Linked DNA regions of Tribolium castaneum. The protein of the gene in region 3 purifies or fractionates together with the protein of the main gene of each other region. This does not show direct contact. Links are inferred from orthologs where the notes say so. Each region holds a gene or a part of one and is shown on either strand. Other genes may lie near its edges.

Region 1 (3,232 bases), on a different chromosome or scaffold from region 3:
TTATCGCGATTGAAGTTTTGCTCAAGCTTATGCAATCGAAACAAATAACGGAATATTTCAGCGTTCTTGTCAACATGGAAATGTCGCTGCATTCCATGGAAGTGGTAAATCGGCTCACAACGACCGTGGATTTGCCCACAGAGTTTGTCCACTTGTACATTTCGAATTGCATATCGACTTGTGAGACTATCAAGGACCGTTATATGCAAAATCGGCTGGTTCGACTGGTTTGTGTGTTTCTCCAGTCGCTCATTCGCAACAAAATAATCAACGTCCAGGAGTTGTTTATCGAAGTTCAGGCGTTTTGTATCGAGTTTAGTCGCATTCGCGAAGCTGCCGCTTTGTTCAGGCTATTGAAACAGTTGGAGTCGGGGGAACAGATCGGACTTGTCTCCTCGCCAACGATAATGAAAGCAAAGCTCGAGGGTTGATTATTTAATGGAACTGTATCGTACAATGTGGCAGGCCGTGCTGTAATTTATCGACGATTTTTTCCCTCTCTTTGACGTACGGCAGATCGGCCAGAATCAGCTCTTTTAAGTTATTCAACGCGTTGAGGTGACTCAGCCCCGGCTCTGTTATATTCAAACACTCGGTGATTTGTAAATAAAGTAATGAGTTTTTTAAAACCGACAGCCCTTTCAACGCCTCATTCTCCAGATAGTAGCACTTGTGGAAAATGATTTTCCGGATGTGTTCGCACCCCACGAAATGGTCAAACCCGTAGTGCATTATGCTGGCTTCAGACGCGTTCACTTCCACGATGTGTAACCTAATCCTGTCGCTCGGCAGTTTGTTATAGTCTGTGAGAAACTCGTTGCAGTGCTCCCACTTGACGTGGGCCCCGTTCCGCAACAGCCACTCGGCACAAGACCTGTCAGGCCCCACTTGTTTCCGTCGTTCGTCGTCCACGCGGTTGAAGACGATGTTCAGCCAGTGGAAGAGGGTGCGCGTGTGGGGGATGAGCGGCCTTTGGAGGTGGCTGAGGCGAGTGAGGAGCATCTTATGTCAAGGTTTCCCCTTTGGTGACCTTCAGTTTATTTGTAAATAAAGCGCAGTGTTATGTAAATGAGACTTACACAAGCTTCCAAATAGTCGATCTTTCGCTCGAGAGTTGTCAACTTTTCGTTTAAAACGGCGAGTTTTGATCGACAAGATAAGTCTAAAAATAATTTTTGCGAGGTGTCAACAGTAAGGGGAAACTTACCGAAAGAATTGAGGAAATCGGTGATCTTTTTTATGCTGACGGTTATCACTTCGATGTATTCGCGGTTTACCCAGTCTTGTTGGATGGGCTTGGGGACTGTCTCTCCTCTAGGAGCAGCCATTTCCGCAAAAATACCGAAATTGTTGGTTACTTTTTAGGGAGTTTCAGTTTTTGCTTGACACTCTAACCCTCTCTCTTATTCTATGCTCTAACCTCGAAAAAGTTTCAAACAAGCTCGCTATTTTCGTAATTTAATTAAACAAATATTTTTTTTAATTAAATACTAAGTGCAAATGATTCGTTTTGTACGCTTTTGGTTATTTTCGAGTCTAGCTAATAAGTGGCAAAAAGTGCATTTGTAGGTTAGGCTTTTCCAAACAAGTTATTGTTTTGAGTGAATCATGAAAGACTCAAAATTAGTGTTGAAGGAGGCACGAGATGCCATCAAAAACAAGAATTATGAAACTGCCTTGAAACTATGCAAGGTAGGTGAAATTTTTATTATTTATAAGGTGTAGGGGTTGGTAAAACTGTCATAATTTACACTAAAAATTAAAAATTATCCGGTTACAAATTTCTAAAAAAACTTTGAAATCTGTTACCAATTGAAATAATCATTTGCGATCATTTCGAAATTTTGTTGCTAAATAGTCGGAGTTATCCGTTTTTTTTTTGTAGAAATTAACTTAATAAAATTAATAAAAGCATTGGCAATTTAAAATACTTTTATGTGTTCACTATTTTCTGATGAATCCAATCATTGTTTGATTCATTGTTTTTTTCTTTTTTTTCTTTGGACTGCACCTTTGTAGCAATTAGTTGCATAAGCGTTATCTTTAATTATGTTTGTTAGTGTGTGCGATTGTATTTTTGCAGCAAATACTGAAAGAAGAAAAGAACAATTACATGGCCCTTGTCTTCCTGGGAGTCTCATTACAGGAAACCGGTCAAAACGCCAAAGCTTTGAAAGCTTTCCAGGAGGCAATCGAAGCAAACCCTTCAAATCCCTTGGCTTGGAACGGTCTTATAAATTATTACGAAAAAATCGACACTAAAGAAACTAAACTTGATTTAATTAATGCTTACATTTCGCTAATTGGCATTGAAACGTAATTGATTTTAAATTATTTGGCATGAGATAATTAGCCTTTTCAGAGGCGAGAAAAAAATCCTCGAATGTGTCCAAAAACTGGCAAATTTGTGCGAATTCGGCGACTTGGCTAAAATCGTAACAGCGATTTTTTCAGTCCTGAAAGAGGGCAAGTGTGACAGTGCGGAATGTGCAGTTTGTTTGATTAATATTTTATCAAAAATTGAAAATCTCGCACCGGATTTGGTCCCAATTGTATGATTTTAAATCGTAATTTTGCAAATTAAACCAATTTTTTAGTACGAAGAAACGTTAAAACTCGCCTTAAACAACCAAAAAACCGTATGTACGAAATATTTCAGCGATTATTTAAACCTGTTGTATAAGCAAGACAAAGCGGGTGAATTATTACAACAGGCGAAAAAAATGCACGAAATGTTTGAATCAGACTGGATTTCTTTGCGTTGGATTTGTAAGATTTTCAATGAGGTTTACGTCGAGTCCGGCACTTTGATCGAATCGGTCGAAAACATGGCCAATTACAGCGAAAGTCTCTCTAAATTGGAGGCACCTTCAGCTACGGGTCTATTCACCCAAAGCATTTTACTAGTTGAACAGAAAAAAATTATCGAAGCGAAAGATGTTTTAGAGCAAGTTGTGGGGGTTTTACCCGGGTTGGTACACGCGTGGGTACTTTTGCTAAAATGTTGTATGCAACTCCTGTTGTACGACGAAGCCATAAATGCGGCAAACAAACTCGAGAAACTGTTACAAAATAAGAAGATTTTGAAGAAAAGTGTTAATGTTTTGATGGTTGAGGTTTTGTCCCGGTCGGAGGAGGAGGCCGACCTTCGCAAAGCGTTACAATTATTTGAAAATGTTTGTCTATTATTAGTACTACTTTTTTTCAATTGCAATTTCTAGATTGAAACTGA
Region 2 (5,237 bases), on a different chromosome or scaffold from region 3:
TGACACGAATGGTTTTGGAGCACGACGAAGGAGTGTAATATACTATTTTTTCTACTTTCTATTTTTGTTGTTTGTTTTTTTTTTGTTGAATTTATCAAAATCTGTTCAAACTATTTCCTCTTAATGTTGTTAATTATTCAGGCTTTATCAATAAACGACTTGACGCTTTAGACAGATTACACACTAAATTACAGTTATGACTGATGACACCCAGTCCAGCACATCCAACAGAACTATCTACTAAAAGTAATTGCATAAAAGTTTTCTTTGTGAAACCACTTTCGGTTTCACAATGAACATTTTGTAAAACCATAATAGTAGTACTATTTTCAATCAGAAACGCATTTTTTAATGTGATTTCGTCAAAAATACACCGCAAAATTATTAAAATAAGTCAAAGTTTGTTACTTTTGCTTTTTTTCGAAAACTTTAGATTTTTGTTTTTTGGCAAAAAATTCATATTGTTTCAAAAGATTAGTTACTTAATCCGAAATAACTCTGAAAAACAATTATTAACGAAATTTTGTCAAAAATAAGCCAAAAGCCTTTAAAACACCTCAAAATTGGCATATCTTTCCAATATAAATCATGGAAATTAAAAAAAAAGAAAAAAATCGTCTTATTTTTGTTTTTTTGAGTTTTTAAAACGTTTGGAAACGTTTATTTTGCAAGGTTTTGCTGAAACCGGCCAAAAAACACAAAATTATCTTGAAAATGATTCCATTTTCACTTTTTTACGGCGTTTTTCACATAGAAATGCTTTATTTTGCAAAATTTCCAAAATAAAGCCAAAAAATCATTGATACAGTTCAAAATTAGTGTAATGTTTGTTTTTTTTAGCGTTTTGGATCTTTTTAGAGCAAGATTTAGATGAATCATATTAAAAAACGTAATGATTTTGCGCTAGAAACCAGAAAAATAATGAAACCAAATCGAAAATTTCGTTATATTTGTTTTGAAACGTTTCTAAATTTAGTTTTTTTTCAAAGATTTTGCTAAAGCGGGTCTAAACAATACAAATTTAAATCTAAAATGACTATTTTTGCAGATCGAAATCAGTGTTCGCATATTCTTTTAGCATGTTAGATCGTTTTTAAGCTAAACACTTAGCTTTTTTGTGAGATCTTGTCAATAGAAATCACAGACATTTGGAAATCAAGTCAAAAATTGTAATGGGTGCTTTGCTTTTAAAACGTTTCTAAATTCAGCTTTTCTAATGAAATGGGTCAAAAAATGAATAATTTAACTTGAAAATTACTTTTTTTGCTTTTTGGGATGTTTTTTATTGTGGAACGCATCAAATATGTCATAATTAGTGTTATTCTTGCTTTTTTAATCGTTTTATTACACAATAATTTGGTTGTCTATTTTATTTTTGTAAAAAAAATCGTCAAAAAATAAAATGTTAATGTTAATTTTTTCAGAAAAAATTTGGTTATAATCAATATTTAACGTAAGTTACAGAAGATTAGAAGATGTTCATAAAATTTTCAGGGCTCCCCTGACTACAGTTTCATTTAGACGCTTTCTAATAGATTAGATTTTGCAAAAATTTTGTGTATGGCTTTAATCCTTTAATCATACTTATTGGGACAAATAAATAAAAAAAGGGGTGTGGTATTATTTAATGAAAAATAATTTTGCAAAAATCGATTTTCAATTTCTTCTGTTGATTACATTCAAAACTTTTGGCAGTGTTTTGAAATCATTTAAATGCTCATAAAGAATATGAATCAATTGGTTGTTCCCTAGATGTGATAAAAACTTGTGTGACAAGACATGTGTGTAGAGTAGATATGAATATGGAACACCTAAATACACCTGAAAAATATTACAACCATGATTCATCAAAATACTATTAACACTTCAGACCTTGGGAGTATTATTCCTGTTTTAAGTATTTACACTAGATAAAGCAGTACATTTTTGAGAGAATTTCGACGTAAATTTTTATCAGGGAAGCCACTCCCTTAAGTTCTAAACTGAATAATATCCTAATTTTTGAGAAAATAGTTATTTAAAATTTAATTAGAAGAATATCACATTTCCATCGAAGGTCATCAATAATATGTCGTTATGCCGATATAAAAATACAGTATTTATAATAAAATAACCATTAAATGTAAAATGAATGATTTTTTGCAAATTAGTTAGAAAAAATTGCGTTTTTGACCTCGTTTTTTTGTTTTCAATTCATTTATTACAGAAACATCGATTTTTAACAATTCTCACTTTAGTAAACAATTATCATAACTGATTAGCGTGATTTAATTTTAAGTATTCCTTCACCTTTCCCAAATGTAGTAGACCTTTGTGTTATTGTTATTTTAGGGGTTGAAGGACGAAAAAATCAGTAACTATGACGACAACCAATCCAATTATTGGATTTCTCATTTCTAATAATAAGTGCCCTTTAAATTTTAACAGAATCACACGTGATTACATCAATTCCGTTTAAAAAATGCAATCGTTCACCAATTGAACTTTGAAACGCACCGCTACAGAAGTGAAAACTAAACCGTTTCAACATTTCTTGAAGAAAAAAGGTTAAATCTCTGTTTCCCGTTTTCGTCACCATATGTTACCGCTTTATGGAAATAAATAAATTAGTGCATGACGTGCGAAAGACATCTGTGAAGGTTATTAACCGCCAATTAATAAACTAAAGCGTGGCAGGAAGTGCCCCAAACTGGCTTCGCTCTCATCAATACTGTCTCCAACAAGGAAGTGAGTCATTAGGGGGCCACATACGCCCCATTTAACAAATATGAGCAAACACAAGCTGCAAGGTCAAGTCATTTGTCGCAATTACGCGAACAGACACCGCAAACGGCCAGATTTTGGGGCAATTTCTCGCAGAAAATGTCAAATAGAAAGGGGAAAGGCCAACTAGCAGGAGTCGAGATTTCCGCCCATTTCTTACCTCGGCATGGTCTGGGACACTCACTGGGGGGCGCAAACGTTGCCACACATGTTTTTGCACACACGACACTAATTGTTTCGTTAAAAACGGCGATAATTTAATAAATATCGCAGAAAATGGCGAAGCGGTACACCCAACAAACACGATTGAGCAGGACTGCCACACCCACGGAGCGAAAATCACCAACAGCAGCGGCGTCGCGTCAATCAATATTGCGGCCACTTTGGGGATAAAATAAATAAAATTGGGGCGTGCGAGGGAAAACCCTCATTTTAATACATTTTTGTGCGAATGAGGGTGTCATTGCTCGACACTTGATGTTTATTTGGGGGAATTACCAGTGGCGTGCGGAACGTACTGGGGATTTTTGTGTTGGCAACGTTATGTAATAAAAAACTGTTTTTCTTAAATTATTATATTTATAAAATAATAGTAATTTTTGTATTAAGTGCGCGAAATGAGTGTTTTTTTAATGGCGCCTGAGAATGTTATTTTAGTCGAGACCGCCAGGTCGAGACCTAAAAGACATTCGAAGGCGCCATTAAAACATGAATTTCGCCACGAAATACAAACAACGTTTTTTCTACAGCCTCCAGATGAAGAAAAAAGTAACAGAAATTAGTTGGAACAAAATGGTCTGATAAATCGAGTTGCTTGCATGGTTACGATGATAAATAAAAGTGATAGTTGCGAAAAATTTGTCACAATAGGTATTTTTGTTGAAGAAGTGTGATGGATTTTAGCAGCGAAAACGAAATAGATGCAATTGCAAGCGCGGCAGTGTCGAATCTTTTGCCTGCTAAATCAAGACCGCAGTACGAAAAAACGTATCTTCAGTTTCGGCAGTGGTGTTCTATGAAAAAGATTGATCAAGTAACGGAAAATGTTTTGTTGGCGTATTTGGAAGAAAAGTCTACCACCTTAAAGCCACCAACACTCTGGGCCCTTTATGCGATGTTGAAAGCCACCTTAAACGTTAAAGAGAATATCGATACACGTAAGTTTCCGAAGTTAGTGCCCTACCTGAAAAGCAAAAGCGTAGGTTACAGAAGCAAGAAGTCGCAAATTTTAGACAAAGAAGACATTAGCAAGTTTATTAATGAAGCAGATGACAAGATATATTTACTGATGAAGGTAAACTTATCATATTAGTGTAATACAAATCAAAACAACTCGTTTTATTTATAGACTGTGCTAATTTTGGGTATATCGGGAGCCCTTCGACGTGAAGAATTAGTTAAAATGAAGCTAACTGACATAGAAGATAAACAGTCTGTCTTAATTGTGAAGGTGCCTGATACAAAAACCCACTGCGAACGAATATTTACTGTTTCAAATTTAGAAAATATAGAAATTGTCAGAAAATATAGAGCTTTGCGGCCTCCACGGGCGACTAGTGACCGTTTATTTTTAAAGTATACCAACGGAAAATGTGTGAATCAAAATGTTGGAATTAACAAAATCGGAGAGATACCAAGTTTGATTGCAAAGTGGCTTAACAAAGACGAACCTAAAAAATATACTGGTCACTGCTTCAGAAGAAGCTCTGCCACTCTTTTGGCGAATGCTGGAGGTGATCTAATTTCAATTAAACGTCATGGGGGCTGGAGAAGCAGCACAGTGGCAGAAAGTTACATCGAGGACTCTTTGAATAATAAAATTGAAATTGCCAATAAAATTCAACCTTCTTCCTCCACAGAAGAAAACAAAATCACTCAACCTTCTACATCGGCTTCTTTTAATGGCGAAAATAACTTTCATTTACAAGCGTCTTCACTCAGGCCTCTGGGGATAAACGGGGGCACGTTTTCGTCATGCACATTTAATTTTCATATGTCAAAGTAAATATCTATTATTATTGTTTTGTAATATTGTTCTGTATAATTATAAAACCTTTAAAACTACCTCTCATTATCGATCCGTCTCTTCATTTCGGTTGCTGTTGATGTCTTTTCGTGTTACTAAAATTGTAACAGAAATAAGTTGGAACAAAATGATCTGAAAAATCGAGTTGCCTGCACAGTTAAAAAATATTATTTTTTCACTGTGAAACCGTGAAAAAATAATATTTTTTCACAGTGAAAAAACGTCAAACTTCGCGCATAGGTAACCATGCATAAATGTCACGATTTTTTGACGGCTGTAGAAAAAAATAAATAGACATTGCAAATGGTTAATAACATTGAGTAAAATATAAAACTATAAAACATTAATTAATTACTTGTTCCGGATAAAACAAACCCTGTTGTGTTTTGAACTGTAACATACAGGGTAGCAAACTTTTTTGAGTATTTTTGCTTTAGATTAGTATTTA
Region 3 (3,903 bases):
GCTCGCGTTCCCTATCTCGCGCCCGATCTGGCTCTTTATATCGCTTCCTCAAACGCTCTTTCCGCTCAGTTGTTGACTTGACGCTGGAAGCAAGAATGAATTTTTCCGCGATTGAGGGTGGAAACTTACTAGGGGAACTGAGATCGGCGGCTTGAAGGGCTTGCCTCATTCAGAGAACTTATATCGTCTCTCCTACGCACCGCTCGCTCGGAATTCCCCTAAAAAAAGTCGGGCCTTAATTATTCGAACAAAGGAAGCCGACCTAGACAGCTCTTGAGCTAGTATTGGAAAGCAATCATTACCTACCTATTTTACATTATTACATTATTAAACCTATCTAATTACGCAATCGTGTACAAAATTTCAAGATCAAGCAAAGATTTCGCTAGTCCAACACGCTGACAATAAAGATAACACGATTTATGATTATGAAGTTTCTCCTTAAAAAAAGATCAAAAATGACAAGTTTAACATATCTACTCACATTTTGCTGACTATTGTCGCTTTTCTCCTCCGGATTCGCCGAAGGTCTTTTGGCTGGTAAAATTGTCATTGTCTAATTTTTCAAAATACAGAAAATACTACAAAATTATTGAATTATTTTCTATAGTTTGACAAATCTCTCAACTACTGTCAACACACGACGAACAGCTGCTATCAACAGTCACCAGCGGGACTAAGTCCCCGGTTGGCAGCCCTGAATTTGAAACAACGCGCGAAATAAAACACACTCAAGCAGGCATCGAAAATTTTATTATGAAAAATTAAAGCAATACCAATAAGGCCGATAATAAATGAGGGTGGGCGATACATTTGTAATGAGATTTACACATGTAGTAGGACTATAATAAATATAAAAGATTATAAAATGTTGAAAGCTGATTCCAACAAATGTATAAAATAAACGTGCTTCAACACTGGCGTAGATGTTCGGGTGCGTGGTAGTGCTGTTGCGGATTCATTGGGTAGACCGGTGGCGGGAAACAACGTACATGTTCAACCGACAACTCGTCGTTCTCACTCGACTTCAAAAACTTGTTCAAAATCGCAAAGATCTGCGAATTGAGCACTTGGAAGCGCCTGATCCTGTCCACCATTCTCTTCAAGCTCTGGGAAAGACAATTATAGACCGAAAACAACCGTACAACCAACATACAATGCCTTTCACAATTTCATCCTTCATGTCAACTCTTTGTACTCTCAGAATGTGGTAACAGAAATCGAGGGCCTCAAACCGCCTTTGCTGGTCCAGAAGCACGATCATTGTACACCCCGCCCAATGCAAACCTTCGCCAAACATTTCCCTGAAACACGGAATAAATAAAACGAAACATAAAGTCGGTACCCACTCGACAGTATATTCGTTCTCGCTAACTGGAATACAATAGACGAATTGTAAAGCCGACCACAAGCGATGGAACTCGGTGCATTCGTCAACGTTCATGACACCGTTAGCAGGCGGCGGTCCGACCCAAACCGAATCGTCCAGGAAGGTCCTTAATCGGTTCAAAACAACTTCAAAAATCGAGAGACCGCAGCACAGCCGCTCACGGGTCAATAAATCGCCCTCCTTCGATATCAAAGATTGCTACAAATTGGCGAAATAACAAACAGTTGTTTGCACATTTATCCAACCTTTGCAGTTCCTAACTTCTCTATATTTGGTACAATCTGCAAGGCGGCATATTTGGCTTCAAGCCGTTTCTGCTTCGTTTCGGGCTTCTCCCCTTCCTTGCAAAACGGCCGTGGGAGGATATTCTGAAACGGTGCCGCTTGCAACAAATCACAGACTTCCTCCTGTGACAAGGCCTGTTCCATCAGTAAACAAAACAGGATAATGTTCCCAAATTCTCGGAAATTGTGGAACAACTCGGTCCTGGCATCGGGGTATTGGACAATGTCGTTCAATTGGGCGTGGTAGTAACTTAACACACCTAAAATTCGTCTTATTAATTCCGCCCAAATCAAGCAAATCATTACCCGGTGAGCCGTAATCGTAACGTGGCAATTTGCACTGCTTTGGCATGACCTCCATTAGAGTTTTGGTGAATTGGAGGAGGTTCCCTTGGATCAGACTTTTGACAATTTTGAGGAGCTCCTCCATCACAACTGCAATGCCTTGATAACCCAAGAGTTTGCACATTGTGTGGAAATGCTGAGGCCCGACGAACCCTAAACCGTACTAGTTAAACAAAATTAGGACCATAAGCTAGATTTACCGGAATATTGGCCATACTGAGTCGTGTAGGCAAGGTTCAGTTGCTTGCTCCCCCACATGTAATGATGCGACATTTGCGGCGGCTTATCTCTGTGGACAGCCCCCGCGAAAGCAATCTGCCCCCGATACTTAGTAAATCTGTTCGTCGCGGCATTGTAGACGTAATTAGGCAAGAAATCGTAGTTCAGCTCCCAAAACACATGCAAGGTGATGCGGCCATAGGGCGCCAAAACGTTGTGATTAGCCTCACGATACATTGAATCGAAATCGTCAAGTGCGAGCCACTTGCTCAGCAATTTATGACACAACCGATTCACTTGTAGGAGGCCTTCCAGTTCCATAACCCCGGTTATGTCACCGCCTTCGAACTTACTTATTGCCAAATCGAGACTTTTCTGCATGTCGGTGTTGATCCTCTGAGTGATCAACTTATTCAAATCGATCGACCGCCCTAATAACTGGACGTGCCGCTGTTTTAGCAAGGTTTCGTAACGATTTGCTCGCGGGTAGGGGAGCAGGTAAGCCCCCAAGGCGGCACACTCCACTCTGAAGCGCTTATCAAGAAAGATACTGAAAGGATTGATTGTGAAAGCGTTCCCATGATTTTTATCAATACCTTGCCGCCAGTTGTTTATAGTACGCGAAAATTTGCTCGCTCAGTTTATAAACAAACTGATCAAAACATAAATTAACTTCAGCCTCGACCTCATCGTATAAAAATTGCTTTCGGAATATTGTCAGTGCGTAAAGCGCGCTATCATTGTATAAATCAAGCGGGTACAAGACGTACTCCATCATCGAGGGTTCCTTAGTTTTCAAAATATGATCAGTCAAAATCCAAGGCATGGACATGTCGATTGGGAATTGTATGCGTTTTTCCATCGTGATCAAATCGTTACATTCTTCGTTATGAGCGTGACGCACGGTGCATTTCTATGAAAAGTTTGGCAAATTTTTGGCAAAATTACGCGTTACTCACGTTTATTCTCCGTCCCATGGTCATCTCGAGGTAGAACTCTCTGTACCACAGCTGCGACAGGTCGCAACATTGCTGCAACGATTCTGGGAGGAAATGAATTAATATCAATGTTTTTGTACGTACCACTGAAACTGAGAAGATAATTCCAGTAGAAGGAGGTTTTGTGGAACTGGTCAATTTGCATTAAATATTGACCGTCTATGTCCTTCCTCAGGGTTCTTTTGCCGCCTGATTTATCGGCAATTAGCGACTCCAGCATTGTCCTGACCATGTAAAGTTGGGTGGAGGAAGGACCCACGTTTCTCCTTGGCACTTTAACATTAAACCCGTTATCGTCCTTTTTGCCCCTCAAAGCCGGGTCTTGAGTCGGCTCGACACCTCTCTGCCAATCAGCGCAAGTTTCTCGCACCGACATAATGATACTAAAAAAACGTGTTACGTGATGTGGACACAAAAACGCGCTACCTTCTGATAAGATCCTTTTTATTTTTAATTGCTTTCCTCAGCGGTTCCCTCAAAATAATCTGTACGAAATCTTGCAATTCGGCGTAAATATTCCGCCGAATTGCGTCAGTGAACACCGTTTCCATTCTGGCCATCAGCACTTGTAATCCCTTAATCATCGCAATGACTTCAATTAGCGCGAATTTTTCCTCGTCGCTGTAATTATACCGTGTCGCCCTTTCGTATTCCTCGGCCTCTTGTG

The links.
Region 1: the proteins of Cyfip (region 3) and HSPC300 purify together in Drosophila melanogaster (affinity purification with western blotting; 4 studies listed by BioGRID). This does not show direct contact. The link is inferred for Tribolium castaneum from reciprocal best matches to the Drosophila melanogaster genes Cyfip and HSPC300.
Region 2: the proteins of Cyfip (region 3) and SCAR purify together in Drosophila melanogaster (affinity purification with mass spectrometry; 3 studies listed by BioGRID, with this or other methods). This does not show direct contact. The link is inferred for Tribolium castaneum from reciprocal best matches to the Drosophila melanogaster genes Cyfip and SCAR.

The regions. Positions count from the first base shown.
Region 1 is NC_087396.1:20,957,645-20,960,876, forward strand, and holds HSPC300 (probable protein BRICK1-B), read right to left. Parts: upstream 1,345-3,232; 5' UTR 1,329-1,344; coding exon 1,208-1,328; intron 1,163-1,207; coding exon 1,080-1,162; intron 1,031-1,079; coding exon 1,004-1,030; 3' UTR 1,003-1,003; downstream 1-1,002. Other genes in the region: Not11 (CCR4-NOT transcription complex subunit 11), read left to right, coding at 1-431; ATP synthase subunit s, mitochondrial, read right to left, coding at 436-1,002; superkiller complex protein 3, read left to right, coding at 1,609-1,692, 2,084-2,316, 2,363-2,552, 2,598-3,176, 3,222-3,232.
Region 2 is NC_087399.1:10,151,225-10,156,461, forward strand, and holds the start of SCAR (actin-binding protein WASF3), read right to left. Parts: upstream 3,084-5,237; 5' UTR 2,924-3,083; intron 1-2,923. Other genes in the region: uncharacterized protein LOC107398411, read left to right, coding at 3,656-4,057, 4,112-4,768.
Region 3 is NC_087403.1:2,183,809-2,187,711, reverse strand, and holds the end of Cyfip (cytoplasmic FMR1-interacting protein), read right to left. Parts: coding exon 3,663-3,903; intron 3,620-3,662; coding exon 3,321-3,619; intron 3,281-3,320; coding exon 3,198-3,280; intron 3,152-3,197; coding exon 2,835-3,151; intron 2,789-2,834; coding exon 2,220-2,788; intron 2,173-2,219; coding exon 1,981-2,172; intron 1,935-1,980; coding exon 1,636-1,934; intron 1,589-1,635; coding exon 1,350-1,588; intron 1,305-1,349; coding exon 1,157-1,304; intron 1,110-1,156; coding exon 912-1,109; 3' UTR 737-911; downstream 1-736. Other genes in the region: Duba (OTU domain-containing protein 5-A), read right to left, coding at 1-83, 130-218, 485-553. UniProt on the Drosophila melanogaster protein: Plays a role in guidance and morphology of central and peripheral axons and in synaptic morphology. Also required for formation of cell membrane protrusions and for bristle development.